Drosophila melanogaster: one gene and its partner. The protein of the gene in region 2 interacts with the protein of the main gene of each other region in a pairwise test. Each region holds a gene or a part of one and is shown on either strand. Other genes may lie near its edges.

The links.
Region 1: the proteins of EMC8-9 (region 2) and PVRAP interact in a two-hybrid assay, tested with the Drosophila melanogaster proteins (one large-scale study listed by BioGRID).

What each region holds. Positions count from the first base shown.
Region 1 is NT_037436.4:5,988,127-6,005,901, reverse strand, and holds the start of PVRAP (PVR adaptor protein), read right to left. Parts: upstream 8,695-17,775; 5' UTR 8,249-8,694; intron 1-8,248.
Region 2 is NT_033778.4:22,870,003-22,886,475, forward strand, and holds EMC8-9 (ER membrane protein complex subunit 8/9), read right to left. Parts: upstream 12,689-16,473; 5' UTR 12,598-12,688; coding exon 12,400-12,597; intron 11,919-12,399; coding exon 11,505-11,918; 3' UTR 11,320-11,504; downstream 1-11,319. Other genes in the region: fd59A (forkhead domain 59A), read left to right, coding at 1-190; CG13532 (uncharacterized protein), read left to right, coding at 1,794-1,857, 1,940-2,133, 2,228-2,390, 3,266-3,374, 3,453-3,634, 3,826-3,905; PIP5K59B (phosphatidylinositol 4-phosphate 5-kinase 59B), read left to right, coding at 5,027-5,114, 5,427-5,461, 5,565-5,714, 5,893-6,090, 6,143-6,285, 6,348-6,845, 6,912-7,004, 7,073-7,205 and 4 more; YME1L (YME1 like ATPase), read right to left, coding at 13,160-13,823, 13,899-14,289, 14,346-14,662, 14,718-14,800, 14,906-14,998, 15,052-15,241, 15,295-15,354, 15,412-15,809 and 1 more. UniProt on the Drosophila melanogaster protein: Part of the endoplasmic reticulum membrane protein complex (EMC) that enables the energy-independent insertion into endoplasmic reticulum membranes of newly synthesized multi-pass membrane proteins like rhodopsins.

The DNA of each region.
Region 1 (17,775 bases), on a different chromosome or scaffold from region 2:
ATCGTGTTTGATACAACGGATACTCCTGTGTTTCAAAAGAACTGAGCACGAAAAGGAAGCAGGCTTAAACTGCAGAAAAAAAGGGGTGATCCCCTAACGAACTACAAATACTCTTATGCTGTCTGGAGACCTTGAAAGAGTTTTATTTTCCGACGAAAAAGAAAATGTTTTTTCTGCCGGAAGTAGTTTCTGCAAGAAGTTGGCCGGAATGTCCTGCCATCTTGACTGCAAAGCGCTTGCCTAAAAAGGAAGCCATGTCAGACTACAACAATGTTAGTTAAATTTCGAAGCTACATTTGTTTTGTGCCAGCCTGAAAAATAAAATAGAGGTACTGACACAGTGAGAAAGGCGGCAAGAGTTGGCAACTCGTGTGCATGCATAGTGCATAAGTCAGTCAGTTGCCAGGGGCCAACATGGGAAGTCGGGGTATTTCGTAGTCCTGGCATGACTTTTAGACTTATTGTTCGTTGACTTTTTGGCAGCACTCGAGTTGCCTCTTTCATTTTCATGCTCGCACTTGAAAATGAATAGCCAAGCAAGCAAGTTCTGTTTTGCTCGGGATAGAAAAATATATTTCATAAACTGTTGCAAGTTATTAAAACGTCAGTCACACTGCTTTGCGTACCTGCTGCGAACTCTGTTTTGATTTTCTTTGTTGCAGCAGATTCATCTTAAGTTTATCTTCGGCCATTCCCTTTGGCCAGACTGCGACCAGACCATGGCTCGTAATATATCCTCAAGGTATGCATTAATTACAAGGATCGTAAAAGCCGGCAGTGGGAAACCTGCGCCTTGCAATGCCAGCAGACACGAACTAAAACCTCCAGAGATCCCGACTCTGTTTTACTTTGTGTTACTTTCTGCATTTTACGGCCAGACGGAGTTTGAGGTCCTTGAGTGTAGATATCTACATATATACACTCCCTGCTCGTTCCCTTTATGACATTCCATTGTTTCGGCTCTGTAATCAGGCGGCAAATTTCGAGTGCATAGTTTATATGCCTCCCCGCCGAAATATTTGTCTCCAGCTGCAAAGGGCTTTTCATAAATTGCTCCTTTAAAATCCCGCCAAAGGGAATGGGTGGCAAACAAATGACGAACTCATGTTGAAGGCTCATTTGTTTTATGACTGACGCTTAGGCAGGCAGCTGATGTCCCTATCTACTACTTTGCGTCCTTTCCTTTTCGCACTCCGGGTGTCCCAGTTATTTGACACGCTTTTTTGCAGTCCTAGCAGAAACGAAGACAGGCAGTTGCTCCTCAGCTGTCATTCATTACTGGGATGCAGGAGAACAGGGGGATTTATTGTATGAGCCCCACACAGCACACACTGGAATACTCATAAACAGTCAGGCATCCATATCATGAATTTTCACTTGCAATTTAAATAGTCGCACATCCCAAGATACCGTATTTTAGTAGTTATAAATACTCTTAAAATATTTCACGATATTTATGTATGATTTTTGTTTTCTTTAAACCCTATTATTACTATTTTAATATTACGTATTACAAGGAAATACACAGTCGCATGTGAGATGAGCAATCGAGTGGACGTGTTCACAGAAGTCGCGGATAAAACAAAAACGTAATTGTGATCCATCACAAACATTTGCGCAGATCGTGTGCTTATCTCACAAACAAAATCTATTTTTAGTCACTGCATAACGGTGACGGCTTCGGTTCGCGAAACTTATCAGCAACTAGCAATTTCTAAGCTGTGTTGTTTTTGCCCCTCGCCCTGCGCGCTGCGCAAGCGGGAGGTTGTTACAATTTACCTTACAAGTAAACCGGTAAATCTTATCGTGTTTAGTAAATATCAATTGCATTATACGGCATAAGTATAAAGACAATTGATATAATGGAGAATTCATTTGCTCAATCGCGACCTAGCAATGGGTGCGATAAATTTGAGAAAATGAGGAAAGTAGCAGGTGTTGAGCCAGGAGAATTACGCTCCCAACTCCGCGCCAGCTGTGCAGTTGTTTCCCCTAACCTGGAAGGTATGCCAACTCAATCTACGGTCTCCAGCTTAATGGTGACAATCAGCAGCAACACCAATGCAAGTGTTACCTGCACTATTTCTAACGTACAGGCCAACATGATCTGTACTCCTACATACACTGATTGCACAACCGTGACCACTAGCATTTGCCCAACTACGCCTTATGACAATGGACTCCCGACACCTCTGTCATCACTGCCCAATAAGCCATCTAAAGCGAAATGCCCCTTTCAAGCACATGATCGTACTGTCAACAGGAAACGAAAAGGCGTGTCTCAGCCCCCATTACCTATCCTCACCCCTTCTCCAAGCCGTAAAACTAAAAGGCAGGCCACTATGCCACTCAATGAGGAGGCCTCTACCTCCACTGCAGCAGCATTAAATAACAATCGCTTCGCGCTTTTGTCTGCTGAAGCGGAGAATATGGAGCAAGACGTGTCGGATGCTGATTCTGACATTGAAGACTCTGCTGCCCGAGATGGTGGTGGACAATCCGCTAAATATAGCAAACCCCCAGCCATATGCGTACCAAGTGTAAGTGATCCGGTCACCTTGGAACGGGCTCTTAATCTGAGTATTGGCTCCTCAAACTACTACATCCGCACCTCTAGATTTGGTGTATCCAGAATCTATACAGCCAACCCTGATGCTTTCCGCACCGCTGTAAAAGTACTAAATAAGTTAAATTGTCAATTCTGGCATCACCAACTTAAAGAAGAAAAACCCTACAGAGTAGTGCTTAAAGGAATCCATGCTAATGTTCCTAGTTCGCAGATAGAACAAGCATTTAGTGATCACGGCTATGAGGTCCTTAATATCTATTGCCCCAGAAAGTCTGACTGGAAGAACATTCAGGTAAACGAAGATGATAATGAAGCTACAAAAAACTTCAAAACTAGACAAAATTTGTTTTATATTAATCTTAAACAAGGCCCGAATGTTAAAGAGTCTCTTAAGATAACTCGACTTGGCAGATACAGAGTCACTGTTGAGCGCGCTACACGTAGAAAAGAACTGCTACAATGTCAAAGATGCCAAATTTTTGGACACTCTAAGAACTATTGCGCCCAGGATCCTATTTGTGGTAAATGTAGTGGTCCCCATATGACCGGGTCCGCTTTGTGCATAAGTGACGTATGTCTGTGTATAAATTGTGGTGGTGATCATGTCTCGACAGACAAAAGCTGCCCTGTCAGAGCAGAGAAAGCCAAGAAGCTAAAACCAAGGTCCAGGCTACCGATGACTAATAATATTGCCACACTCAAACCTCCACAACGTTCTTCAAGCGGTTACATACCAGCTGAGGCATTAAGAACCAACATCTCTTATGCTGATATTGCTCGACGCAACACGACTCAATCTAGGGCTCGTGCTACTGTGCAGGCTGAAGTTATACCAACGTCGGACAATAGCCTTAACAATAAATTTATGACGTTAGACAACTCCATTCGGGCCATCAATACGAGAATGGACGAACTATTTAAGCTTATACACGAAACTGTAGAGGCTAATAAAGCTTTCAGAGAACTGGTTCAGGTTCTAATTACACGTATTCCTAAATGACTCAACCAACCTTAAAAATCGGATTGTGATACGCTCGCGGATTAACAAGGGGCTCTGAGGAGCTTCGGATATTCCTCAGCGATCACGATATAGACGTAATGCTTACCACGGAAACACACATGCGAGTTGGTCAGCGCATCTATCTCCCAGGGTATCTTATATAAGACAAGCTCCAGAACATCGCCCAAAAATATATGGAAAGGCTTAATGTACACCCCAACAGCCTAGCAAGGAAGCTAGGAACTGCAGCTGTGGTCAATGCTGACCCTCGGACTAGAGTCAAAAGAAGACTCAAGCGACACCACCCTCATGACCTCCCTAACCTGGTTTTGACCTAGAAAGTCTTAGTTTTAAAATTCATTAGAATAATCAAATAAATAATAATTACTATGTTATATCAACTATTATAATTCTCCCTATCATTTTTAGGATTAAAAATCTGTTAGTCTTAAGTAACCAAGACACATTGTAAAATAAAATAATTTAAGCAGATCAAATTAAGTTGCCGCATGGGTAACAGTGCGTTGATCAAATAATAAAAACATCATAAATATCCCCAGCGTGGGCTATAAAAAAAAAAAAAAAAAAAAAAAAGGAAATACGACTTATTCCTGCGTGCATTTGTATGCAAATTATAATTGCCTACTTTTCGGTGCTGGCGAAATACGAAATCTTCAAAGGCAGCATTGCGGCTGCTTTATCAACTTTATTATGCCAGCGTCAAAATTAACAACAACAGCGTGGTTGAAACGATGGGGGAATGACCATAAAGCAGCCTCTCTTTTGGCCCTTAAGACAGGACTCAACTGCAGGCCGCGACCGTTTTACGACTCACACACACAAACACTCCTGAAAACAGTTTCAATGTCTGATGCTTCTCTTGCTATGTGTGTGAGTGTGTGTGTTGGTGTACGGTGTGCTCCTTATTTATCTCGCTTTTGTTTGGCCCCGTTCAACCAGCCGCTGCCCTCCCTTCCCACCACCGTCCTCGAAAAAGAGTGTCTTACTTTGCTCGGCTTTCTCGCTTTTTTCGTTGCTTTGGCAACTTCCAGGACGATTTTGTTTGCCTGCTTAGTGCGTACGTGTACGTAGTTGTGAGTGTGTCTGTGAGTGAGTGAGTCTGCATTCTGTGCTCGTGTGTGGGTGAATATCTCTGCGAAGTGCGTGTTCGCCAACACTCGTGGCTGAGCGCCTGTTCCGAAATATTCTCCGTGTGTGGGTGTATCGCACACAGACACAAGCCCACAGAAGCGATGTGCCGTGAATATGCATGTGTATGTGTGAGCGCCATGTTGCTGGCAACATTGAAATGGCAATTTTGGTGCCGAAATGTTGCCGAGCCGCTTGAAGTGCTGCCGAGTGTTTTGATAGCGGGCCAACTAAGCCCCAGAGATTTTACTCATATGCACACATCATCTCGGCAATTTTAAGCGGCTTACGACGACGATGATGCCGTCGCAGAATTTTCATTACTAAGCCAAAGGTGAATACCTCATACTCCGAATCATCCGCACAGAACGTTCGCCATTCTCCTCAAGTGCGCAGTCAACTTCAAAAGGCTGGCAAATTCTATGGGTTAGCGAAGGAGTCTCAAGGCAAACACAGATCAAATCTTATCGGGAATCATTTTATGAGCAAAATTAATACGCTTCAAGCCAACTGAAGCGGCTGAGCGACTGGCAAATTTGTAGACGTTTTGTTGTTGCCCAGGCAACTTGAACATCCCCATCCTCGACGAAAGGCAACAATATAATGAGCCAGAGCAGGTGGCAGGAGTGGTATCAAAAGATTGATACAAAAAGATATGCTTTGGCACTCGAAAAAATAAGTACTTTTAAGATAATATAAATATTTTATAACTACTTAATTGGAACCTTAGCATTGATGTTTTTCTTTCAATTCTTGAATGTTTATTTAGGAAATCATTTTTCTTTAAAATCCATATAATACATGAAGTTATGAATTTCTGTAAATATTTTCGCAGTGAAATAACGGGCTCACGGGCAACGACATCGTCATGGAAATTCTTCATTAACTCAACTCGGGCGCTGAGAGAAAAGAAGTTTATGTTATTAAGAACATGGAGGAGTGGGCGGAGAATGATGGCAATGGTTACTATCCGTGGCGGATGGGGGCGTGGCTAGGCTGTGAAGGAGGCAGCCGGAGCAGCAGCTGTTGTTGTAGTAAAATGTGTGTTTTACTTGACAAGAAAGAGATAACGGTAAATGAATATGCAGCAATTTGCACGCCCACATAATGAGTAGGGCGATGGTGGCGGAGAGAGGCATGGAGGGGGGAAGCGGTAAGGATACCGCCGGCGGGCAGAGACTGAAATAATAACAGCAGCAGAAAAGCAACAGCATCAGCCGCTAAACAAAAGTCGATAAACATAAACCAGGCAACGCAGACAAGCGCTGATAAGTGTGCTACACTTTCCACAGGAAACGGAAGGCGTGGGCTTGCATGTGTTTGCTTGTATTTGTGTGCGAGTGTGTGCGGGTGTGTGTGTGTGAGGCAAAAGTAAATTAAAACGATTTTAATTACGGTTGCCAAGACGATGAATGAAAATGTCAACGATGCCGGGCGACAGCAGGTGGGCGTGGCGTAGGCGTTCAAGGAGTGAAAGAGTGCGGAAAAATGAGACAACTCCTAAAAGCCTTTCGTTGTACCGCTTGCTGAGCAGCAGTGTGAATTATGGCACATGTACAAGGCGCTTATGCACCGAAAAAAACGAGGATCCTTTAATAAGTTTCAACAGTGATTTAAGCTACTACAAAATACTATTTTACAGTACACTTTAGGCCAACAAATACGTTTTGAATAAGAAGCCACAGGTTGACTTAATAACGAAATTTATTAAATGAAGTGCAAAACTTAAATTCATACATTTCCTGAATAAAAAAATTAAATCCCTTTTTTATAGTTTATCAAATCTGTATATGACAACTCTTTTTCATTCGTGTACGTATGTGCCAGTGAGTGGAATAAAAGCAGATTTTCATTTAGACTCTGTTTTGTTGTCTTTAGCTACTTGACAAGAGCCAGAAGCCAAAGTCACTGCCAAGAGCAACACCAGCAAACTTTAACAAATAAACGGGTTTTCAGGAAAAAGGGAGAAAAATGGGGAAAAATAGAAGTAGGAGCAGCAGTCGCTTCTAGCTCAAACAAACAAGCTCCATTTTTATGAGGCTCTTTTGTCTGAGGCTGCTATTCCGCCTTTTTTCCCCTAACTTTTTTTATACCTTATTAACGCTCGCTCACTCGCTTGTTGAAAATGAAAAGTTTTCGTTGCGGGCGTGAAATTTTTTTTTTCCCACAACCGAAAAAAACAAAGATGGAATGCTGAAAAGCCACCGAAAAAAAGGAGAGCAGAAACCATGGCTTGCTGATTAACTTGACACGGCCAAGAGCGGCGAGGGAAAAGTGTCGCGGAAAAGCGGTGGGTGGTGAGGTGAAAAATTCGCGGTTCGTATGCAGCTGACAGGCAGCACCTGTCGCCGCTGCGGAAGTGTCGACTGCGAATACGAATGCGACTGCGGCCAACAAACCGCCGCTTGACATTTCCTTGGCGACGCTTTTCAAGGAAAATGTTGCTGGCTTGGCGAGGGGTTCGGAAAACGTGGTGGGCGTGGGGCGGTGGAAGGACGCTGCGGTGGCCTTGTGTATCTTATTTTGTGACTGCATTTAAGTGCATTTTTATGCCACAGATTTAAGTGTAAGCCAGTGGATTGCCAAAGTTTGTCCAGGGGTTTATCTTCATTAATTTCCGCAGTGCTTTTTAATGCAGCAGAACTTCATATTAACCCCAAAAGTGTGCTGTGGCAAGTAATTCGACTTGGGCGCTTCTTTATAATCGTGCCATAAAATCGACAACAGTTTTTAACGGACGCGTTCTGATTGGATTCCTTCTTTTAAACTGCTAGCATTGCTTTAAGTTTTACCATATCCTAAAAAATCAGTATTTATAAAAGTAAAGATCATATTCTTATCAACGAAATCTCATTGCTGAATTCAGAGAAAACCAAAAGGTTTCTTTAATAAAAAAAGGTCTTTAAAAGCAGTCTTTCAAGAGCAGTACATTCCATTGAATTGGCATAGTTTTATATTACTTTATTCACACCGAAACGTTTTTCTCGGGCATGCTCGCGTGCATTTCAACGCCCCGAGGAATTTAAAGTTTTTCGGAAAAGCTGATACACTTCACTCCAAACATGTTGACAGCTTAACAGGAAGTCTGCCCCAAGAAGTACGGCGACACCCCGAAAAAAGTTGATTCCTATCCTTGGAGCCCGTTGCACCCCCATTTGCCGCTGATAACTTTAAGCCGAACGAGGCCAGAAAGTGTAGCAGCTTTCGTGGCAAAAGTTTGCAATGCATTTTGATGTGCAGCCAAAGTGCCAAAAGGTGGCAAAATGCAGAGGGGGGAAAACTCTCTGCGAATAATTATATAGAGAAGATGAAAGGACCGGAGGCAGCGAAGCGAAACAAGAGCCTATGCAATTCTTTCAAGTCAAGGCTACTGACCTTTTTAACACTGTTTGTCAAGGATGCAAAGGGCCGACTTTGATCCCAACAAAGGGATAAAATAAACCCAAATTGACCAACAAACAAGACTTGTATATCCAAAGGATATTTAGGATGTGGAGCCAATAATGAAATTTGTCGTGTGTCCCACTCACCTTAGTATCAATTTTTGGCGGCAATTTTCGTTATGTTCACGACCTTTATTTGCGTTTTCGTCTTATTGCCACAATAATCCAAAGGAAAACTGGCCAAAGTTTTCGCATAAAATTCAATTACGATTGTGAACTCATAAATCGCAACACTTGGCCGCGTTTTACGATTACGTCTTTTGATTTCGAGCACGGAAAGTGTGAAACTTTTTTGGTTAACGCGGCTACTTTGTTATCACTGTTATCGGGCCACGACTCTGGCAATAAAATTACCCCGTCGCGTCGTTAAAAGTTAAACGACCCTTTGTGCTAAACTGGGGGATTTGTTAAGTTTTTATGACTTTCGACGAATTTCGGACAATGTTGAAGTTTTGGGCATCTGCCAGTTGTATACGGTTAGGTGCCTTTTTGGGGCAACCTTTGCAGTTGAAAGCGCGCAAGGAACTGTTTATCCTGGCCCCATGTGCTGGCATTTTTGTGCTAAGCCCGAAACTTGGTATCCTGCCACGAAACTTGGCATCCACAACAGCGCATGCGCTGGATTTCCTCGGAATGTGGATGTCTGGAGTGGGACAGGACCTTTCCAGTCTGCATTCAACTGGTGGTTGGCTTGCCAATCGAATCCTCAAAGAACTGCCATATGTGCATGGTTGTCGTGACAACTTGATTTTCTCATAAGCTAACGGTTTCTCATTTCCTACTGCCATGAATTTGATAAGATTTTATTACGATTTTTGCCGGTGGCAACCTTTGATGCGCCCAAACATCCACTAGTTTGAAATCCGAAGCTGATCTAATTATGCGACCGTTTAGCAGTGCATACTTTTCAGAGACTTAAAAGAGGGCCGGTAAACATCTGAAAAGGAGAAAGGACTGTCGAATGACATTAGGGCAAATCCGCTTACAGATGCGGAGATGAGATGAAGATACGGAGGGTCGTCCATTGTTTATGCAAGCGCATTAAGCTGAGGCTTAGCTAAGGATACACTGACTACTCGGCATGGAGATGCAGATGGGCAGATGCGGATACTGAGATACTGAGAAACAGAGATACAGATACGGATTTAGATACAGTAGCCCAGCTCACACCCACAAGCAGCAGCGACATGTTGCGGTTTTGCGAGCAGTAGATTGACCTGGCCAAGAAGCCCAAACAAAACCGCATGTTGCAGGGCGTGGCGGCATCTTAAAGCAGTCCGAATCCAGCTGCAAAATTTGAAACTGAACACTCAAAACTCACAAATGAAGAACCTATGGATAAATCGAAAAGTCAGCGATGCGAAGTTGAACTCATTAACGGCAGTGAGTGGAAAGTCGTTGTCATGTAATCCAATGCCGTGTACCAAATTGGAATCTCGTATTTCTCATAGATACACGGCGATACGTGCACACGTATAAAAAGGACTAATAAAAGGAGGAAAAATCAACTAAGAAAAATGGAAACTCGCGTGGATATTTCGTGATTTTCCGTCTGTAAGCGCCGGCGTGCAATCTTCTTTTTATATGCCATCCATTTTATTGTTTATTTACAGCATTGTTTAGTAGCATATATCCGCGTGTATATATACATAGATACTAGTATATTCCCCAGTCAGCGTTGATTTAATGGCTGTAAATTGAAATGGAATACGCGAAAAATGGAGAAAAATGTTGGGACAGGTGAGCTGAGTTGATTTGGCAGAAATATATTTATTGAAAAAGTTGTCAGAAAAGAATTTAAAAGAATAAAACTTTGCGGATTGAAATTTGCATTTCACAGTTGTACGCCGGCTTACGTCAAACATTTTCTATCCTTTATGGATTTTATTATGTATTTTAAAAGCCTAAAAAGGCTTTTTTTCTTGCATATTTCACGAAGAAAAAGGGAAAACAGGTGGTTAAGAAAAGTTCCAAATTTATCTATCGGCTTTTATCCTTTGCCTAACCATTTAAAGGAAACCCAACTTCTGGTTGCCAATTTCTGTTTATCTTTCTTGTATCTTTTCCTCGTTTTGCTTACATTACGAGCGGAAATTTGATTTGTTTCTGATAAATGCCATTTATTTTACTTGTTTAAGTCCTCCCACTCGCTTGCCCCTAACTTTCCATGAAATTCAATTGCCAAATTGATTCAACTTTTTCCCCTCGCTGCAAAAAGCCATGGAGCTTCGCGTTGAGCCGCAGATAATTGAATGATTTGAATTTGTATATTGAATTTGGCTTTATACATAGCTGAACACGCCCATTTTTCATTTAACGCCCACCACCCGGCCTTTCATCATATTTGGCAGTTTGGCAGTGCGAAATTTTTGTTCATCGTGTTGCGTGGGATTTTTCTATTAAAATGGAAATTGTAGGCGAATTGGAAAATTGCTTATCAATTGACGGGGGGCATATGCTTCAAGGATCAAACGGAGGCTAAAATTGATTTCCCTAGCCGCCACCATTTTCCGATGACCCCGCGCACCCACGCCCCGTTTATGCTGCAATTAAGTATAAAATTAAGTTTTTCCCTTGCCAGCGAGCTTAATTGAGTTGTATGTGTGGATTTCATTCCCATGGAATTGGGGTGAATCCCTCTTGGAATTTAATTTAATCCACTGAAGCGTTACGCCGCCAGAAAATGCATGGCGAATTTTTTTCCGAATATTGCGCTGCCTGCCTTCTTTTAATTGTTTGTTACATGGGAATTAAAGACAACTGCCCGCATGATGATGTAACCATATCGATGGAGGGTGCACATATATGTATACATAATGATCTCCCCAAGCAGACGAAGTGTCTAAGAGCGCTCCTTTCTAGACAGACATGAAAAGGAAACCCTGGGCTGGCTAATGGCAAGGTGCTCTCGAGCTCCTTTGTTGCCAAAGAACAAAAAACACAACTATTACTTATTGGTTCGTGGAATGCAACTAGAACGGCATAGAAACCCTCTCTCAAGTGCCACTCCACATTTCGACCTTTGTTTCGCAATCGAGTTTCGATTCAAAAGCAATACAAACACGCACTGCGGGTGCCACTTCAACCGGTCGAAATGGGAATAGGAATGGAATTGGAAATGCTAGAATCGTTTGAGAAACTGCGTCACCATAAATTGTAATTACCCAGAATTCACGCGACCCACAGTCTCAGGAAGAGGAAAAAAATATAAAGTGTCAAGGGGCGTGTGCAGCGACACTTCGCCGACCCCTCCCCACATTATTTTTTTTGCCGCCCGCTGGTACCAGGTACCGCCCGCCGACTAACGGTCTATATCTATGTGCGTGACTAGCGGTGGACTACCGAGCGGCGATAGTTTATGGAACGTGCTGGACTTTGAATAGGTATGATATAGATAGATGTGATAAAGTGTAAGGATTAAGGCTAAAACACATATTTTGTTAAGCGTGATATAAAAAAAATAGCATATATATATTAATATTATATAAAATTCAACATTTTTAAAATTCCAGATCCTTGTTTCTTTTTTCTGCGTAGTAGCCATACCCCATCACTATCCCATCCCTAACCATCACATATGTGTCGCATAACCTAAAGACGTTTACAAATGAATTAGGCCAGTCCATTGCAAAGACGGCAGTTTAGAGCGCAGGCGCACAGCTTGAGGTCGTGGCAGAAACACAAAGCGAAGACTTCATGGCAGACACAGTGACGCAAACCGCATGCTGACTTTTTTCAATTCTCCACGGCTACCCCATACCCATTAAAATCGAATTCAAGCCGAAGGGAACTGCGACCCAGCAAAGGCATTCCTAATGCAAAACGTGTGGCGACGACACTTGCCCACGTTCGCATGTGTTTGTCAGCTGTCCGTCTTTGTGGCAAGAAAGAACGCATCTCCATAACATACAGCCCGCAAGAAATGGTTTTAAATTAATAGGAAAACACCATCGCTGACAGTAAGTCAGAAGTGTGACATACTTTTAATGTGATTACGAGTCAAAACTTGCGACGAATGCTGATGGGATTACACAGCCAGCGCCACCAAAAGCCAATTAGTTTTTCCCCCATGTGTGCAGCCCATCGATGATGGAATTACATTGTGTCAGAGAAGAGAAACAATCACAGAGTGCGGATTCTCGCTGCCATTGCCTTTTCCAAATGCAATCCCATAAACGACTGCCACTTTCAGTGCTCACACATTGTAAAATGCATTTAAATGCCACCTTTGTGCTTTTACCTTGGGGATAAACTCAGTTAGCAAAGTCCATATCAATAATTCCGAACTTGCGGCGAACGAACATAAAAGTCAAGAACTTAATTTCCAACTGCTGTCACTTTAAAAACACAATATTCGGTTTTATGACTTCTTCGTTTGGCAAAAGACCAGGAACAACTTTTCAATATCCGAGGCCATATCCGGTCGGGCTATAACCAACCACTCACACCGACAAACACAGATGGCGGTCGGCTGGCACTTTGTTGGCTTTGTGTAAAGTCGCAGCTTAAAACAAATAAAATGCGAATGAAAATTTATTTTATGCATGTTGATGCTGTCCTCGTCGCCGTCGAGTGCATTGTTTTTGCAGTGACAACAGTGAGACCAACGCATGCACACGCACAGCAGCAGCACAGTTTCACCTGCACACACAATGGTAATGTGTATGCAGCACCAATACGCATACACACACAGGCCACAAGGATTCTAAGAGGCACACGTGATGTTTGCCCGCCTGCAACTGCAACAAAAAGCGAGCTGCTGCCGCTCCAAACTGCTTAGCTCTTAAGGAAGTAGCTGCCACAGTGGCTTCGAAGTGGCCAAACCCAAGGCGATTTGGCTTAATACGCAGAAGGGCTCCGCCGAAAAGTAGTTAGTTAAATAGATTAGTTTAAGGCGAACACAAACAAACGAGTTGTCGATGAAAACAAAACCGCTTGCCTGCCATAATATTGATTTTCCGTTTAATATTTCCTAGAATCTGCATATGTAAAATAGTAACGTATTGAATTACAATTTCTTAAAACTACGCACAAAAACAAATGTGAAGTACATTTCATTGAAAAAGTTATCAATATTTTCAATACCGATCTTAAAGTATCTTTCAGTACTTCTACCACAGTGCCCATCTCGTATCTGAAGCTTATCAGGTATCCGTAAGATCTATTTGTGGTTTTCTTGCGTTTGGTTTGGTTTAGTTTCAGTTTCTGTTTGGTTTCGTGTGCCTGGGTTTGTTTATTTGTTAGCTTGGAGCATCACAGACGTAGACAGAGCCGTTGCTTTTCCTCGGCGTTTACATTTGCCCAAGTTGGGCAAATAAAGTCGTTAAGCGGAAGCTGGGAAAGATCAGAGGGGCGAGATAGAAGCGGCATGGCAACCAAGTAGCAACTTGCATTATCTCGATGGTCATGGCCATGTGATGTTCCCTCCTCGTTCTCCTGTCGCTTTTTCCCAGTTAATGCTGCCAATTCCGGTAGCAGCATACAACTGACATGATAAACAAGCTAAACATGCCAAAAGTGTCCTCGGCACTAGCCCAACTACTACGGCTGCACAGAGAAAAAAGGAAATTAAGTCATTCATTTTCTGATCCTAGGCCATTTTCACCTATATTTCGGATTTTTTCGGATTTACAAGCCTAGTTTTCTGTATATATGAGATTTATATACTTTCAAACACAAATAGATCATTCTAAGATTAATATATATTTTTCTCTCTATATGAAAATCCTGCCCGTTCCTTGTCCTTCGCCTGACAGCTCTTTTTTCCTGTCTGTCGGTGTTGTGCACATTTATCCTGTCCCTGCTAGTGACACCTTCTTTGTCCCCCCGCGTTTTGTCTGCATGTCACTCTTCATTCGCCGCCCCACCTCTTTCCACTTTCTCCACTCGCCTTTCTCTAATGCTCCCTTCCTCCCATATGGAATTCAAAGCAACTGCTTGCAGTTGCCGCCTCGATATATTCCACCCACACATTTGCTTAAAACGTGGAAATTGATTTTCTATTTTGTTGCTGGCGAGTTTTCCTTTCGGTTCGCTCGCCTTTTTTCCCTCAGCAGCGATTGTCAGTGTCAGCTACACGTGATTGAGTCTTATCTTTAGTTTTGTCACTTCAACGCTGGCAGCTACTTTAAATGTCAGCACTCGATGGAAAACCAGGAGCTGTGGAAACTCCCCCCAGTGTTCTGAGTATCTGGAGTCCATTTACCAACCAACACGTGCTGTTTTGGCGAATTTTACGTTCCCGTTGAGGAAAGAGGAGAGGTTCTATCCCTACTACTGGTGTGTCAAAAGGGCTTACAAGGCGCGTGTGCTGCAGTTGTGGATTCAAAAGGGTGAACAGATAGGGTCCCCTCTTTGTTAAGTGCAACACATGTTGGCACTTTGTTTTGGGACTTGCTTTAGAGCTTGTTTAAGCCATTCCGATAATTCTGAAAAGGAAGTGTCGCCGACAAAGACAGTGCATAAATTACCTGTAGAACTTCCGGTAAGAAGGTAATGAAATTATGATCAACAATGGGAAGTTTTAGTCAGGAGACATTTAATATTTACTAAACATTTACATTTACTAAATTGTAAGCTTTTTGAAGATATACGATAACAGTTGTTTTTAATTTTTCAGATTAAAGAAAGCTTGGCTTGTTTGACATCAAATTATTTTACACCATTTTCATAAAGTGTCCCAATATTACCTTGCTCACACAACTTTGTTGATTGAATCTCCCTCTGAAAAAATCACTTTCCAGCAATTTGGCCAAAAATATTTGCTTACACATCAACAGGAAGTGCTTTCTCTTCCTTCCTGCCGAACGAAACCACGGAATTTTACTTCGGCCACCACAAAGTTTGTTTTAAGCCCGTAAAAACCTGGCCAAGGACCCCAAGGCAAATAAGGCAACGACATCTTATAGAAGTTTGGGGCCCCTAACGCAATTTTTATGCCGCGTCCGTCGTTTTTGTCGCTCTGGGAGCCATTAACGAGGAGCGACTGTCGGCCCACTTACGCACATTATGCTTTAAATTTATGTGATTAATAAATTTCCATAATTTCGGGATACAGCATTTTCTGCGCCTGCAATGGACGAATGTCCTGTCTGTCAGCCATTTGGCCCGCTACCATCGCTTTCTTTTTTGGTTAATGGCAGCCGAGATTGTCCCAGATGAAAATTAAAGATTTTCTCTTTTAAATGTGGCGCATTTTCATCAGCATTTCTTTTTTTTTTTTTTTTGTTGGTTTCGGTTAGTGGTTTTGGTTCGTGAGGGTATTAAAATAAATTTGCGCGCTTAGTTTTGGTGGCTGAGCAAATGAATAAAAATTAGTTTGCAGGCCATAAAAAATTAGGCCAGCTTAAGGATAAATTCCCCAAAAGGGAAAACAGAGAGGGCGAGCAAAAGCTGGCACTCAGTGAAATTTATGACAGCTTACGCACAATGCATAAATCCTGGCAATTGTGTGCGATTTTTAATGCTAGTTAAATCGACTGAAAATGACAGTTTAATGATTGACATGCGCCGTAGCTGCCGCTGTGGTTGCCACTGTACAGTGAGCACCCCCTTCGAAGTATCCTTTTTTTTTTCATATCTCCCCCCACCCTTACAAACGTTTCAAATGAATGTCAACTGTCTGTCCGTCCGCCCGAATGACGAATACACTCGTTAAAGGGCATACGCCGGAATGAGCCCGGCGATTCCACAGTTTGTGGAGCGAAACGAATCGTGGCGGGGGGTTAGTCGGGTACTCGGTTTCCCGGGCACTTCGCATAGTTGGGCAGTTCCTCGACCCCACCACGCCCACTTGTCAGTTGTCAGTGGCACAAACGGACCCGGGAAAGGGGAACTGGAACTGAGATGCCGGGAACATCGTCATCATCGTCATCGCCAACGCATCACCATCATCCACATCAATGTCAATGTTTATGACAGGCGCAGAGGATTAGCGGGTTACCCATTCGGAACCGTTTTAACCCTCCGTGCGTATGCTTTTAGTGGGCTGAGGGTGCGGAGTTATGCAAAATGCGCATTGCTCTAATGTGTACACTCCGAGAAATTACCATATGACGCGGTTCAGTGAGTCAGCAGGGCTCAGCTGGGCTAAATATAAAGTGTATGATGGATAGCATATCAAGCAAGACGTTGAATGATATGTCACATACATAAAACAATGGCATTCACTTTTCTCAATGCTAAATTATATACCTTTAAAACAATTTGCTTTTTAAATAAAATTCCAAATATTTTAAAGTGTAATTCTTATGCGAAAATAAATTAATTTATCTGTCGTCAACAGCGATTTCTGAGCTATCATTAATAATAAATTAACGAACAAAGCATTTTGACTGCAGCGTGATAAATGATCCTGATTGGACTCATGTCTCACGGAAAGATAAGGACTTCGAGTATAAGGTTACATTTTAAGTCTAGTGATTTACGAGTTCTTTTATATTTCTCCCACTGTACTAAGAAGGTTCGTCATTCACTGTCTCCATTTCGAACTCCCGCGACTGCATTGCGCTTGTCAATCAGCGCCCCTTGTTGAGAATGACGAAAAGTGCATAATGTGGGGGTCATTCCATTGGGAGTTGCGGAATGAGGTGATGGGAGGAGAGACGATCTGGGTTGGGGGGCACAATGTGTTCAAGTGGCCTGCGGAATAAATCATGCGTGCTGACCAAACGACCTCCCACCATCGAGTTCCAGCCTCTGACTCCAGAATGCCGACGACAATTGCGACCACACTTGAAGTTGCATTAAGCGAGGAAGTAACGAGAGCCCAGTACATACACTGAAAGAAACTGCAAGGCATATTAAGATCAAATGGTTCTGAAAAGGTAACAAATTAATATTTAGTAGCATGGTTAAAACCAGAAGCACTCTTTTGTCTGTTGATTTATCCTTTAATGCCAATTTTTTTTCTGTGCACCCCATCTGTATCTCTGCAAGTCCCCCACCACCACCGCCTCAATCATTGCTGACTTATCTTATTGTTGATAAATGCTGCATTTCATTTCTGTCCGACTCTGGTTGCTGCTCAATTGTTGTCTGTATGTGGCATGAAAATTCGACAAAAACTCACTTGAGACAAATTGTGAATTCGTTTGAGGAGGAGCATCTACTTGAAGTGCGCTTAGCACAAATTTGTTTTGTTATGGAAAATGTTTTATTAGCAGCCTGCGTGAGGGGGCATTACTTCTCGGGGATGTTGCTTGGAAACTGTCGCGTAGGCGTTTGATTCAGGCGACTAGATGAAGATTAATTGCGTTCCATAAAAAGAGGCCAACGGCGAGGTCACCCGACGTAGTCACTGTGTATCTATAGGAGCTATCATATCGAGTTGCAAAGCCCGTTAACTGAGCGGAATAAGCTTGGAACATTTTTGAGAGCTGCACATGGTTACCTTTAACATCCGCGATGACATAATCTCATCGGGATACAGTGGCCGTGAGATAAACATCGCAAAGGTATCATTACAGGGTCCAACAGGAGATTTGCAGTCATGACAACGGCGGAGGTGACGGGGAAATGTACTTTATTCGAGGGTTGCAAAGTCAGCCAAGTGAAAAACAAGCAGGGCACACGTGGACAGGACACACGCCAATTTGGTGGAGAGACGTACTCTA
Region 2 (16,473 bases):
TGCGCCGCCGGAAGCGTTGATCTTTGAGGCTTCTGCCGAGGCGTCCGATTCAAGTCCAAGGAGACGCTTCGATAGCGAGCCCCTGGTTCTGCGGACCAGCAAACAGAGCAGCGCCAAGGACTTTCGCATCGAGACGCTGATTGGCCACCACCTGCATCGCGGTGGCAGCCAGGAGGAGACCAGCGACTAGGCGGGATTCCCACTCGCTTGAACCAATTGGCTTGTGTACAGTCCATTGAACGGTGATTTCAGTTTCGATCTAAGCACGTTTTAACAGCCCACTAACACCACCACCAGCAATCCCCAGGAATCCAATCCGAGCAGCAAGTAGTGATCAGTAGGTGTATCCGTAGGATGTAGGAGCCAGCACACGAGTTTTTAAATGCGACCAAATCGAAGTCAACGCTATAGTTGCCAGTCCACTTACGTACTAAACATATATCTGCGCGTAATATCTATGTAAATCTGAAGCATCGCACGTCTATAGTATACTTTTAACACGAATTCTTGGGGTCTGGAGTCGGGATTTCAGGTTCTAGACCTATATCTACCATGCAAGTACTAATCATGTGTATGTGTGTGCGTGTGCGTCTGCGTGTAACTGTAACACATCCAAGCAAGAGGAACACTATTAACTATAAATTAGACTAAGATTTTTGCTGATGTTATTGAAAATTGAATAAACAACAACATAATAATAGTTTACACGGATACATGTTTGACTGGTAGGTACCGATATACGTGTTGTTACTACAGCTACTACAGCATGTTACTAATATGTTTGTAGTATACTAAATATTAATTTTTAATCCTATTGATACCTGTAATATTGTATTATTTTTATAATTATATTATTATATGTGGCCACTCTCTTCCTTGTAATAATATCCTTAAAGGGATCCCTCTTTTCGACGTTTTGTTACCTTTTGTTTGCAATAAAACACCCCGAGTTATTTGAATTTACCGCCCAGCAAACCTGTCCAGGTGTGGCACCCCTGCCTGGAAATCAGTTCAGCTTTAGCGCCTGCGCAGTGACCATCGCTCAGCTGATTTGGCGCAGGACGTAGTTGTGCCGCCATAGAACGCCGTGGAGTTCGGCGCTACCAAACGAAAGCTCCGCTCTCCCACGAGCGTCCCGTTGGCTTCCAGTGTTAAAACATGAAAAGCTGCGCCTGGCAGCGGGACAACAGTGTGCCGCCGAAGATACCAACACCAACTATTGGTATCCGCCAGCAGAACTCACGCGCTACGCCGAGAGTACGAACTCCACTTTTGGCACAGTTCGCCCCCGCGGACTCCATTCCGCACGCACACACTATCGCAGCCGTAGATGTTCGTGTATGTGGGCTGCAAAAAGTCGATTTTTCGCTAACAAAAAGTATCCTGTCCTGTGTGGGCAAAACTTTAAATGGCCCGGGCCATAAAAGGAGATTGCCATAGTTGCGACTTGCAGTGGGAGATGTCCTGCGAGGAGCTGCTGCGTCCGAGGTGCTGAGCTCGTTGGGCCGAGAAAAGTTTGTGCCAGTCAGTGCCCGTATCCCCAGAAAAAAGCATCCCCCTGCCATTCTGCTTCTGTGATGAGATTGGTGATAATGAGTGCAACCAAAGGCCCCCATGTATCCACATAAAAGCGCAAGCCGAAAACAGACAGCACCGCGATAAGTAGAAACGTCCAACCACCACAGAAGTATTCATTGCCACGCACAACGACGGCGCGTCCTCGCGGAACGGGAGGATCACGAGCGACAGGATCTGGAGTGCCCAGCGACGCTGAGGCAAACTAGTCGGCTGTCATGGCGGGCTGGCGAGGACGAGGCCTACGCGCCACGCTGCTGGCCGTGCTCGCGTTACTCTCGGGTGAGCAGTTCTCGCATACATCCTTTTTGGGTTCCTCCAAACTAATCCTGTACTCCTCCTACTCCGCCCCCATGCCGCATAGTCACTCACTCGGTGCGCATCACCAACCTGCGGGTGCCACGCACCTACACGCTGTTCCGAGACCACGAACCCGATCCTCTGGTGCTCGACTGCGAGGTGGAGATCGGGCCGCGGGAGCAAGGATTCGTCCTCAAATGGCTGTTCAATAACCACTCCATCTACCAGTGGATACCATCGGTCAAGGGGTTCGCCATGGTGAGTCACTCGGGGTCTTTGGTCGCACCGAATTAATTAAGATTAATCGAACTCTGTCTTTGTCTTCGATTTGTTCTTGTTCTTGCGCCTGTAGGGCTTCATGAAGTCGAAGATAGACACCAAAATATTCACTATGGAGGGCAGTCCCGGTGTTATATCGATAAAGAATCCCGACTGGAACATGACGGGGGAGTACACCTGTGCAGTGCAGACCTTCGAGTCCACGGATAAGCGGAGTGCCCGCCTGCAAATAATCGGTGGGTGTCACGACCACGGCCAAAAGAAAAAGGATCGGCGGTGAAAGATGTGCGGTGGCGATGGGAATGGGAATGGGTAGCAGGTGGTGGTGGGGGTCGAAAGGTCTAAGGTGGTGGTTCTGCCTCTGGTTCTGCCGGGTAACCTGCACCCGCCCCCATCTTGACTTGGCCCCCGCCACCAGGGTGTTTGCATAGGTGTTCTCGTGTCGGTGTTTACACAGGGAGACAAAAATTATGATTTATGTACTTAAAAGCCATTAACAAAAGCCGAGAAAGCCTTACTCTAATGCGCTGGCCTTTATTCTGTCCCACTATTAGCATTCATTCTCTCGCATATCATCTTGTGCCTGGGCAATTCTAATTTAAATTTTCAACGTACCTTTTTAAGGAACTTATATTCTATTATATTTCATGATATTACTTTCTATTTTGTTTTAAAGCAACTTTGTTAGCTATATATATATATATCCATAACTACGGTTTGAATATTTTAATCTTAGTTAGTATCTGAAGTTGTTTTCAGTGCTGTAGGACAACTGTAATTGGCTTAGTCAGGGCGTTCCCAATCGAGTTCCCCTTTTAAATGCTAGGGTCAGTACTTTTTTTTGCTAGTGCAGGTGCTGGGCGCCGTCTGTGTGGCACGTGTGATTCGCTTTCATATTTGCATGCGTGTCATGTGGCAGTCTCTGCGGTGTCCGGAACCACGGCTTGTTTGTGCTGTTTTGTGCTTTTCTTTGGGACACTGTTTTGCTTGGTATTGTTTTGTTTCGTTGTTTAGTTTGACACTTGATTAATTCTCACGACTTTTTGTCTTTCGGCTCCTGTCCGCCGGCTCCACCACACACCCTTCGTCCAATCTGCTCCAATTGCGACAGTTCCTGAATCGGATTTCATGCTGGAAGCGCGGATGAGCGGTTCGCGTATGGACGTGGACATCATGTGTGCGGTCCAGCACGTCTTCCCGCAACCCATGCTGTCTGTCATGTAAGAGGATCCACTGTCCCCGGCAATTTAAGGCCGGTGAAATCCAATAGCGCAAGGACCTAATCGTTCCCTCCGCAGGTTTGACACCCACATACTGGACTCGGTACTGACGCAGTTGGACCAGGACCCCAGTGGCCTCTACAGCATGACCGTTCGCACCCGCATTCCTAGAGATCAACTCGAGTCCCCCACCCCAATCACCTGTGCGTTTATCCTAGTTGGCACCAACTACACCAAGCGCCGGGAGACTATTTTCTATGGTAAGTACAGGTAAGCCTGGATAACACTTTGCTTATAAGGACAAGTTATTCATTCATGCATCATAGCATTAAAGTAGTAAGCTAGATTTGTTTGAAATTTTTAACATCTGTCCGTTTCTCCATCCTTATAGAAAACCTAGTTTTAAAGTTAACAAAATTGAATACATAATCTAATATTTTCTTCTTTACAGATAAGGCCTCAACTATACAACGCAAGTGGACAACGGTCGCCGTAGTCATGTCCATCGCATCCTTAGCTCTAAGCAGTTAGTTTGGTAGTGTCCTTTTTATGTAGGCTACATTCGTTTTTATGTTTGGACTAGGAACTTTGATACTCCTTAATTTTTAATAGACTTTTAACGGATAAACGTAATTTTTTGCGGTATTTTTAAAAAAAAGCGCTTATTTTGTACATGCATGTATTTGTAAGGATAACGAAACACAAAACAAAAACAAACACCACAATGCGTAAGCAAACGAACCCATAAAGACAAAAAGGACAACAGTAAAGCATAACAAGAAATTCTTGTATTCATATATTTACCACATAAATAAAATATATATGATAGTTATATACGATGTATAGGTCTAATTGAGTACAGAAACGCTAATAAAAAAAATACGAAAAGAAACATTAAAAGTGCATTAAACCAACCGCCTTCGTCGTCGTTTTTCTTTGCTAAAAAACTAAACAAATTTTAAAATTGTATTTTTATTGTAAAATTACGCTGTAGATTGGACTCAAGTCACACATATAATAAAAAAAAGTCTCAGCATGACTAATTAAATCCAAATTACTTTTGTTTATGGCATCTATGGATTGGTTTAAATGAAGTTTGTTTTTAATAATTCGTTTTAATCATGTGGGCGTTACAGGGCCACAGGGTGTTATAAAATTTATTAACATAAATTATTATTTACTATTTTTATGTTTGTATATTATATTTCCACGCGTCAAAGGCTTATAAGCTTTAAAAACATTGCTATTTGCGGATTTTACAACAGTGCGGATGCTCCGCTTCACCGTCTGACTGTGAATGCAACCCTGCGTGCCTGTTCCTGCGCACACCCTTCCAGCCCTGCCGACCTTCCAGCCTTCCAGTGTGCCTATGAGTATGCAGTGAAAATGACAGCAGTGGCAGAGGAGCCATCAACATCACCATCACCGTAGACAGCAGAAACGTTGACGCCAGCGCCAGACGAGAGCCAAGGTTCCTGCCACCCAGTTAGCCCACTCGATTGGATAATCGCCGAGGATCGGAAAACGTGAAAGCAGCCCTCGAATAGCCCAAGTCCACAATCCCAGCCAGCCAGCATGTCCTAGTGAAGTCCTAGACGTGGGAAGAGTGCAGAGAAGAGAAGAGAATACGATAGCAGAGCAGGAGCTGCACGATGGCCTCCGGCGATGGCGACACCATCAACACCATCGACATGGACAGCTCCTCGGCGTCTCAGGCCAAACTGGCCGAGCCCAGCAATGGTAACTATTATCCACAGACCCCGTCACTTTTCGCAGCGTGAAAAAAATCAATGACTGTCGAATGGAAATGCCCCTGGCGCATGTGTCTCGCGCGAAGGGAGGAAGCGTGAGTGTGAATCCACCCCCGCACTTGTCAAACGGACTTCCATCGGCTCCTATTTATATTTTGGGATTGATAACAAAAGAAAGTCACACGCGACTGGAGGGAGAGTGTCCTGTCCAAGTTCAAGTTGCGGTGATTGACCAGGCGACTGCGTCATGGCCTGAATTAAACATGACTCCTAATAATGAACTCTGTCCGTCTTTCTTTAGCCTCCACCGACCATGTGGGAAACTCATCGCCCGACGTAAGTACATCCGCCTTGACCTCGAGGTCACTCCCATCCAAACTAATCGGGTCAATTACTTTCACTCCCAACCAACCAACTAACCAACCATTCATCCGTCCAGCTGGGCAACCGACCGAACCGAGCGTCCAGCAAGGCGGACAAGGAGCGCAAGATTGGCCACAGACGCGTCGGCGAGGGCGGCGAGATTACGTACAAAAAGATCCAGACGTCGCAGATCATGGGCTCCATCCAACTGGGAATCCAGCACACTGTAAGAAACATTCATAGCCTTAAGTACTGGAGCTTGCATGTTTTACTAGCACTATTTCCAAACATTTCAATGAACTCAGGGCGGGGTTACAAGATTGACCCAAGCTTGATTCGTATGACATATCTTGTATATCTTGGCTTTTTCCATCTACTTAGTAATCTTGAAATATCCTTCGCAGGTCGGCAGTCTGGCCTCGAAGCCCAAGCGTGATCTACTTATGATGGACTTCTGGGAAATCGAGAGCATCACCTTTCCACCAGAGGGTTCTAGCCTTACACCTGCCCACCATTACAGCGAGTTCAGATACAAGATCTATGCGCCCATAGCGTTTCGCTACTTTCGGGATCTGTTTGGCATCCAACCAGATGATTTTATGGTGAGTGGGCGACCGTTCCAAGTCGGCAGATACTGATGGTCCATACTTTCAGATGTCCATGTGCACGTCCCCGCTGCGGGAACTGTCCAATCCTGGTGCTTCCGGCTCTATATTCTACCTGACGACCGACGACGAGTTCATCATAAAGACGGTGCAACACAAGGAGGGTGAATTCTTACAGAAACTACTGCCTGGGTGGGTAACCCGAACAAATCTTTGCAAGAAGACCTATTTAAAAAGTGTTATCTGCATTTCAGTTACTATATGAATCTAAATCAAAATCCGCGCACGCTATTGCCAAAGTTCTTCGGATTGTACTGCCTGCAGACGAGCAATGCCAAAAATATTCGCCTGGTGGTCATGAACAATCTGCTGCCCTCGTCCGTAAAGATGCACCTCAAGTACGACCTCAAGGGCTCCACGTTCAAGCGCAAGGCCAACAAGGCGGAGCGTGCCAAGAAGTCGCCCACGTACAAGGACCTCGACTTCATGGAGCAGCATCCCAACGGCATATTCCTGGAGGCCGAGACCTACGCCGCGCTGATCAAGACCATTCAGCGCGACTGCACGGTGCTGGAGTCCTTCAAAATCATGGACTACTCGCTGCTCCTCGGCGTCCACAATCTGGACGTGGCGCTAAAGGAGAAGCAGAGTGAGCAGAGAAAACCGCTTAGGGCTCCGCTGGCCGAGGACTCCGATGTGGATGCAGACGATCCGCTGGACGGCGATGCGGCCACAGGCATCAGCAGGAATAAGTGAGTATCTCAGCTTGCTGCCAAGCCTTCGGGCAATCTAAAGATCTAACCCAGTGCGGCATACAGGTCAGTGAATCGCCAGCGGCTGGTTGCCCACTCCACGGCCATGGAGAGCATTCAGGCGGAGAGTGAACCCATCGACGACGAGGAGGATGTGCCGTGAGTGCCTCAGTTTCAGTTCCATATATTTTTCCGAGCTTACATGCGACGACCTAACCCAATTCCAGACCTGGTGGCATTCCAGCAAGGAGTGAGAAGGGCGAGCGCCTGCTGCTCTACATCGGCATTATCGACATCCTGCAATCCTACAGGCTGAAGAAGAAGCTGGAGCACACATTCAAAAGCATCATACACGATGGGGTAAGACTGATGATTCTAGCAAGAATTTGCCACTGATATATACTCTTGCAGGAAACCGTATCGGTCTGCCGGCCCTCGTTCTATGCTCAAAGATTCCAAAACTTTATGGCCAAGACCGTGTTCCGCAAGATACCCTCCCGTAAGTGGACCGGTCGTGGAAGTCGGGCTAAGTACTCGTACTGTAAGGCATTTTTGTGTGCAGTTGGCCGAGTTATGCAAGCACTCAGTTCCGGTTCCGGTTCCGGTTTCCGACATTTTTGAGTAGATAGTTAGCCATAGACACTTTCACACCATTTACATTCGAACACACCGAACACCATTTAGACACTCGTAGCTTGCTAATGTTGGTTAATCGATCGATGTGCAGCAAAAATGCAATATGGTACACTTGGCCTGAGTAGACGCCGATTTGAAGAGATACCTATATACATATCTCTACATCAAATCAATATCCACCAACAAACCGCTCTGTTCTCTGCTTTCTTTTATGGCCATGTCTCGAATGCAATCACCCACTCTTACGTACGCATATAGTGGATCTCCCAGAGATCAAGGGGAATCACAGAAAATTTCGTACCTTGGTGACCAGCTATATAGGTAAACAAACGAATGGTCGATGTCCTTTAACTTTTGATTATCTCTCACTTTCTTTACTTACACCTTTCTTAACGAGTATTTTATAGTGTTTATTAACGATGTTTTGTATTCACCACTTGGTTTTATATGATTTCGAAACGGACGCCAAAGCATGCCTCTCAATCTCACGTTAGTTGATCTCACATCCCTGGCATCCTCGGCATCCTTGGCATCCTTGGCATCCTGGCAACCGTATTGCTCTTGGCTTCGCATAGTTGCTTTGGAAGTGCTATGCTTTTTGAACTTTTTCTTTTGATCGAAACAAATTTATGCGTTCCGCAACTAATTACTGCATTTCCATCATTTTTGCAGCGCTTAAGCATTCGCCTTCGAAGAGAAAAAGCCTTTCCAAGGCTATTCAGCGCTCCATTGACAGCGACAACGAGGTGGCCTCCAGGCGTAAGTTAATCACTCTAAAAATTAATGTATACTAACCACGACTACAACTTGTTCTAAAACACTCTTTCGATTCCTAAACCTATTATAATTTGCTCAGCGGTTCACGCCTCGCACTCGCACAGCAGTGGCAAGATTCACCAGCCAGCCAAGCCGCCCACCACCGAGCCCACGCCAGCGGGAGCGGCAGGTGGAGCCGAAAGAGGAGCAACTGCCCTAGGTCCAGCAACCACCAGTGGCGCCAGTGAACGGGCACCACCGCCCGTCAAGCAGCGTACGCCGGCGGCCAGTAATCTGAAGACGCGAGTGCCACCGCCAGTACCGCCACGCGGCTCGCCACGGCGCAAGGATGCCCAGGATCGGACGACTCCAGGTACAGAACCGCACACCACTAATCCCAACCCGGCACCAGCACATACCCACACCCTTCAGGTGCCAGCGAACGAGGGCATTCCGCGATTCGGGGATCGCCGTTCGCCTAGCAATGTCCAGGATTGGTTGGAGCTGCATGATCTCTTCGATGGTCCGGACAGTGGTCCATATGGTCCATATGCACCGCCTGCTCCTCTGGCAGACCCAACGGTTACTCTACTGAGAAGTTCTTCGCTGCGGCGCCGGGATTCCCTGCACTCCGCCTACTCCACGGCTCGATCAGAAAGTAGCTTCCGGCGCCAGCAGCCAAGACTCCTCAACCACGTGGACATCTTTCAGCGCAAGAACAGCTTTGTGGCGCGCAGTGATCGGTCATCGGTGGGCTCCATAGTTCGGAGCTTTCCGCCGATCAGAGCGGAAAGCTATCGTACGGGACGTTCCCGATCCTCGGGCAGTATTCACAGCCAGCATTCTCCTAGGCGAGGGATTCAAGAGAAGCTGCAGCGACATCAGAGGCGGAAGCGTTACTTTCACTACGTGGATTTGGCGCTCGGTGGCGAGGATTGCGAGAACCAGCCGGAGGAGGATAATCTCCTGCAGTCGGTCAGTGCTTTTTTGGAGGTCAAACGAGAACTGGAGGCGACACAGCGTCCTAGAAGACCTCTACCCAAGCTTACGCTTCCCGACCCGGTCGTAGAGCCTGCGAGGAGTCCTCCTGGACAGCAGATCAGACGGGGCAAGAGACGAGCGCCCAAGGCAGCGCCCTCCACGATACCCGAGAGCGACGGCACTCAGGGATCGACTGGACGCGGACAGGGACGGGATTAGCTACTCGCTTGCACCTCGCTTACCCAGCCACACTACACCATTACCCAGCTACCTTTTATTACTACTGTCTACTTCTGCCACTCATTCCGTTGTATATTTTGCTCTGCTCATTGTATTGCTAGGCACAACGCCCTCATGCAGCTCGACTCCTCCCCCCGCCTTTGACGACATCTCCGAGGACAGCTCGAACAAGAACAGCAGCTCGTCGATAGGTCGCCGGTCTCATCATCATCACCACCATCACCAGCAGTCGCAGCAGCATCAGCAGTCCTACTATCTGGATCGCAAGATGAACATTGGACCCGCCTATCGAGGCTCCTACAAGGAGGACATTGTGAGGTATTAATGCTTATGTATGTTAGCCATCTAAGCTATCCCGCCGTCGAGTGGAAATACCCATTTGTAACAAATTGATTTATTGTTTAACTAGCGTTTCGGAAGTCCATCTGGATACATTACTGGCGGTGGACACGTCGTCGAGCAGCCAGTACGGATCCCGCGGCGGATTGGCCTGGACCCCGCCCGCTTCAGGTGAGGGCTCCACTCCCACATGGACAGAGGGCACACCAAGTTTTACGGACTCCAGTTCGAGTGGTGATCTCGGTAATTGGCACTTGAGATTTGCTTTGAAATCGCTTTTTGTGTTTCTATATCTATCTGTATATGTGTATTCGTTCACGCTTGCAATCGTAGACAACTTCTCGCCCATAAACTCATCTAAAATCGATCGACACAAGCCGACGGTGGAAGAGGCCATCAACTCTCTGTCCGCGGGAATGGTAAATATCAGAGGAGACCGACTCTAGACACGATCCCCAGCACACATAGATACGTCCCGTACCGCTGCACCCACGACACCTCCACACCTAGACAGCTCCACCCCCATCACACACAGAGTTAGACTCGCACACGTCCATGTAGAATCGTACACTACTAGAGTTTTCCAAATTGCAGTGCATCTTTCGTTTGGGTGTTCTTCCCTAGCCATTCCCCCACAGCATCCCACTGATACATGACTTCTCTATTGCATTCTTATAGATCAACTAACATAGCATGTGGTGACGGAACACAAGACACACCAACCCAGATATATCACGATGTGGACTGAGAAAGAGTCCGAGCGAAATATGCCTCATACTCTTACATACTGATTATGCTTGCGTGTTCAGGCGCTCTTGTATAGCTAGGATATAATCAAAAGGCGCCCCACGTAGAACAGATTCCCCCATGTCATGCCCACGACCACGACCACAGCCACACCCACACCTGCCCATCCCTTCCAGCGGACACTGGGTGAAAAATAACCAACAAGAGACATAACTCAATCAAGCAAAAGATATTATATACAAGCCCAAAGCATACTCCTTATACACAGAACTACAGAAGCATATAGCATATAACTGGCAAATCAAATACGAGTAAGGTGCTCAGGATGGCATCCCGTTGGTGATCAGAGATCCGTGATCAGTGATTCGTAGTCCCGGTCCCCTATACGTTTAGTGTACGGTGTAAAGAGTTCGTTATGCGTTCGATCAGATAATATGAAAATATACAATACACTGAAATTATATAAATAAACGTTTTTGCGATACTTTCGATCTCCGATATATCCACATAAGTACGTATTATGTATACCTATGTATAATCAGCAATCGCGATATTACAATATTATTGTAAAATATTTCAATTTACAAGCCAGACAAACCAAAAGCAAAATTATATACATATTATTCATCTGTATTTATTAACGATAATTGTAACGCGCTTAGGTTTACTCAACACAATAAACAGAACAGAACCGGACCGGACCGGACTTAAAAAGGATATTACAATAGGTGCACCAACAGACGGACTCGGACTGCAGACAACATTTGACTCAAAACATGATGAAAGAATTGATTATTTATTAATTAGTTGAATGTTATTTAACTTATATGCATTATTCTAAAGATTACTGAAATCCAAATGTAATTACAATAAATTAAATTGCAAGGTTGAAATTCCGGCATGTTCCCTCGAATGCGATTTTGCTAGACTAAAAAAAAAACGTACGTTTGAAACGGACGACTAGTACAGTTTCTGCAGATCGTTGAGCGGCTGATTCAGGAAGTCGTTGGTCCAGTTTTTGTCCGGATTATCTAGATGGTTGTCAAAGTCAACCAAATCCCGCATGGCTCCGCGCTTCAGCAGCAGCGACACGCCTTCCAATGTATCGGACGCCTGTGAGAGCGTAAACTTGGCCTTTGACCACCTTGCTCCAGAGTCTCCGGGACAGTTGAATACCTGGATGGCGGCTCGGTCGTGCTGCAGCGTCATCAGTTTGTTGTCCACCACCACAAAGCAGGCGTTCTTGAAGTTCTCCTGGATCTTGTCAGCTATCTTGGCGGCTGGGGTCTTGTCGACCTGGTTGTCGTAGAAGTTCTCCGGTGCTGCGTAGTAGCCTGCGATTACTAATCCTTCCCGTTCGGCGTGGGCATCGATCTGAAAGTGTAAGGTAATGTATTATTATCGTTATTTTATAAAATGTTTTAATTTAAACAATGGTACAACCTTATCGGCTTTTAAATTTAATTCAGTCTTCACAACTTCAATGCTTTAAGACTGCTAGTTTAATTTGGGTAATAAACTTCTAACAGGGTAAAAGTGGTGTGACACTAGTTTTTGAATTTGATATGCTAATATTAAAATACCATCGTGGGGTACAAGGTACATTTTACTAAATAAAGATCGCTTGGAACATAAACCTTTCTGTTCTAAGCACAACACTGGATAACTATGCAGCCGCAATAAGTTAGAATAGTTATATATCTTTTGGATAGCGGAGTGTTTGGCCAGGGTGCGAGGATCTAGATACAAATTGAAGCCATAATAGTTCCATTATGGGGCGCACCACATTGCTGTCCGGACACAAATGCACCGAGCCCCTCGTGATGTGAGTTTAGGAAGGGCAATTGGTAATTACCAGCATGAGGGCCACCTCCGCCATGGGGGTGACATACAGGCACTGGTGGAAAAGCGGAATCGCATCCACGATTTCCACTTGGGAGCCCTTCGATGTCTTCTCGGCCAGCAAGAGTCCGTTGACCGCCTGGTGTGGATACTTGGCCGCGTGGAATATCAACTTGGCGTACGCCCGCTCCGAGACCTTGTAGTCGCACATTTTCTCAGAATATTATCTCAATTTATTCGGCAAAAAATAAAACATGAATTGGAAATTCGACAGCTAGAAAGTGTGACCGCGACGCAGCTGTTCAAATATACCGCAAACGTCAAATATACAATGAAAAATACTAAAATGGATGAGCATGGAATGGATTCCACAAAAAATGTGATCAAAACTATATTTGTTAATTATGTCTTTAACATTGAAAATATATTTATAACTTAAGTTCTAGAAAATGGTTTCTAACATAGGTTGCAGTAGTCTGGTCACATCGATATGGGCGCGCAAACAATATGTGGATTCCACTTCAAATTAATTTATTACTCAAACTAATATTTAATTCTAACGTGAATGATGGAAAACATAACTGAATATGTGTAACATTTTATTTCTTAACTGTCCGTCTGCGTCTCGCTCTTGCTTGGTTTTTTTCTCCGGTTTTTTATATATGTATATTGTAACTAAAAATATTTAGCAGTTCAGCTGAATGTCCGGTGGCAGACCAACCCGGCCTTCCAATTGGATCCTTGAACACCATCAAACCACACCGATGGGGGAACTACGTCTGGCTTTCATTCAGTATTGCCTTGATGTCGTCGGCGTCAAGAGTCTCGTACTTGAGAAGCGCCTCCGCAAGCGCTTTGTGCTCCCTGGTGTGTTTTCGCAGGATAGCCTTCGCCCGCTCGTAGCTGTCGCTGAGGATGCGCTTGATCTCCGCGTCCACGGCTTCAATGGTGTTGGGACCAAGGGTGTCACCGGTGCCCAGACCCTTTGACGCCTCGATGGTGCGAAGACCGACCTTGTCCGACATGCCCCAGTCCCTGACCATATGCGTCGCGATCGAGGTTGCCTGCTTGAGATCACTGCTGGCTCCCGACGTAATCTTGTCCGTGCCGAAGACCAGTTCCTCAGCAGCACGACCGCCCATCATGGTGTCCATCATGGCCAGCAGCTGTGCCTTTGTGACATGGTAACGCTCCTTCTCCGGTATGTAGGCGGTGTGTCCAAGGGAGGGTCCGCGGGGCATGATGGTCACCTTGTGCAGCGGATGCGACTCCTTGGTGTAGAAGGCCACAATCGCGTGGCCGCCCTCGTGGTAAGCGGTTATGGTGTTGGCCTCCTCGTCCGGTAGACGAGCCTTGCGCTCGGGTCCCATAAGTACTTTGTCTCGTGCCGTTTCCAAATGCTTCATGCTGACCGTTTCGGCTCCATCGATGGCAGCTCTGCCAAAATGTTAGAATTATTAGTACCGCTCTTCAAAATTGTGATTGAATAATACAACACAAGTTATTCCTTACCTTAACGCCGCTTGGTTAATCATGTTTTCCAGATCCGCTCCAGTAAAACCAGAGGTGCCGCGCGCCAGCATGTCCAAGTCTATTTCATCGTGCAAAATCTTCGTCAGATACAGAGACAATATCTCCTTACGTCCAGTGAAATCGGGCGTCGACACCATGACTTCTACATCAAATCGGCCGGGACGCAGCAGAGCCTGATCCAAATCGTCGCGACGATTGGTGGCTCCCAAAACAATGACGCCAGCGTTCTGATGGAAGCCATCCATCTCGGAGAGCAGCTGATTGATGGTCTGATTGGCGTAAGGATGCAGCACAGAGTTGGTTCGCTTGGCGCCCACCGAGTCGATTTCGTCAATGAAGATAACACAAGGGGCACGGGCCTTTGCTGCCTCTGCAAGATGATGTTCTTGTTTAGTTGAGCACTTTGGATAATTGAAATCTACTTACTGAACAGATCACGCACTCGTCTGGCTCCTTGGCCTACGAGCACCTCGTCGAACTCCGGTCCGGCAGCATGGAAGAAAGGAACTTTGGCTTCACCGGCGACGGCACGGGCCAGCAGTGTTTTGCCAGTACCCGGCGGGCCAACCAGGAGCACTCCCTTTGGAAGCTTTCCGCCCAAATTTGAGAACTTTTCCGGACTCTTCAGGAATTCAACGACCTCCTTGAGCTCCTGCTTGGCTTCGTCGCAACCCTTGACATCCTCAAAAGTGACGTTGATCTCCTCAGGGTCCACTTCAACCTGGTTGCCCAGTTGTATGCTGCTGAAAGAAAGGCATATCAGATGGGTAAAGCAAAACTAATAACGTGGAGGCTCACCGAAATACGGATCCATTGGAGGTTGTAAAGAAGCTCAGGAAAATGCCCAAGAACACGACGATAACGACGATAGTCTGCAAAGTCTGCGTGACAATTACTAGAATTTATTTATAACACTAAAGAAGACCAAGGCCTTCTGTGGTTTTCAAAGTAATCATGGTACACTTTGAATGAATTTAAACTCGTACCTTCAGATATTTCATAGTTTTTCCTGATTTTGGAGAGTCCTCCGAGTTAGCGGCGGCCAAGTAGCCCTCGGCAAAGGCAATTTTCAGGCTCTCCTGGAATACAAAACATTAGTACGGTTAACAATTGAGAGACCCTGTCGTCCTACGGCTTTATTAAATCCATGCTCTTCGGATTTGGCCAGCAGCCGTCTCAGTTTTTCAGCCTGAAGGGGTGTGTCCCCATCCAGACGCTGGGGCGAGTTGGCCAGAGCATTCTTTAGTCGGGAGGTCATTGTGGGATTGCGCTTTTGTTCCGCCTCAATGGAACGATCCGTCTTAAAGCCACGTATCTGATTTCTATAAAGAGCTAAATTTGAGATATAGTTCGTAGATACTTTCCGTATAATTACAGCTGTTGTTGTGAGAAGAGCGGACGAAGAAGACCTGGTGTAATAGTTGGAATCACCTTGCTGAAAACATAAACCAGGATTAAGCGGAGCCTCGAAAGGATAATTTGCAATACGTACACATTGGCGCCTGTGGGCACGGAACCTGCTGCACCGGTTAGCGAAACTTCGAACTGATAATTTTGCAGCTGGACACGACCGATCTGTGTGGCCGACTCCTCCAACGTGACTCGGACATCGCGCATGGAGGGCAGCATGCTCGTCACCTTGGCCAGCACATCATCGACCAGCCGCCGGTCGAGAATGCCATTCAGTCGAGCCGCCCTCTCCACCATGCCCTGTATACTGGCGCTCGAACGGCTCAGCAGGTTCCGCAGGTCGAGCACTAGGTCATGACTCCGGCTGGACGTGGACGTGGACTTGGACAACCGGGCAGCTCCCGCGCTCCCGTGCAGCTTGGTTCGATTAACGGAGTAGTAGTGCGGCTTTCTGCTGAAGTTGCCTAGGTACAGGTAGGGCTGTCACATCACATCACACGCAGTTCCCCGATTCCAAGTGTTGGGTGGTAGAAATGGAGCAGTCAGGTGGGCGAATGAATGTATTGTCATCGGGCAGCACTTACCACGGAGTGTGTGGTGGTGGAAAACATTGCCAAAACTACAAATTTCAATAAATTACAAGGGCAGGCTCAGGATCGCGGCCAGCAGACGACACAGCTGTAACTTTACTTGACAGCGAAAATGTCATAATCTCGTCGCGTCGTGCGCGTTGCATCCCTGGTTCTGGTGGTGCGCGACTTTCCACCTCTTATCAAAGCACGCGTTCTCCAATTACTGGCAATTTTCAAAAGTGTATTCGTTTGTCGACTGGTGGTTTTGATTTTATTCGATTTTTAATTTGGTTTATATATCTAAACTGCCTCTCCGTACAGTCAACGCTGCTGATAGTGTTGCTAAACTTACATAAATATATAAAATTTTGTATAAATAAAATGAATGATAATCAGCGCAAACTTTGCATTCTATAAAATGTGATTTGTTTACTACTAAGATCAAATGAAAGTCTATTCCAAATTTTACTTATATTGACAACAAATTCCATTGTATCAACTGTAAATGAATGTTGTCTTTGTTATTTAGTTTTAACTTCTTAAAGAAAAAGGTTTTTAACCAGTTTAGGATA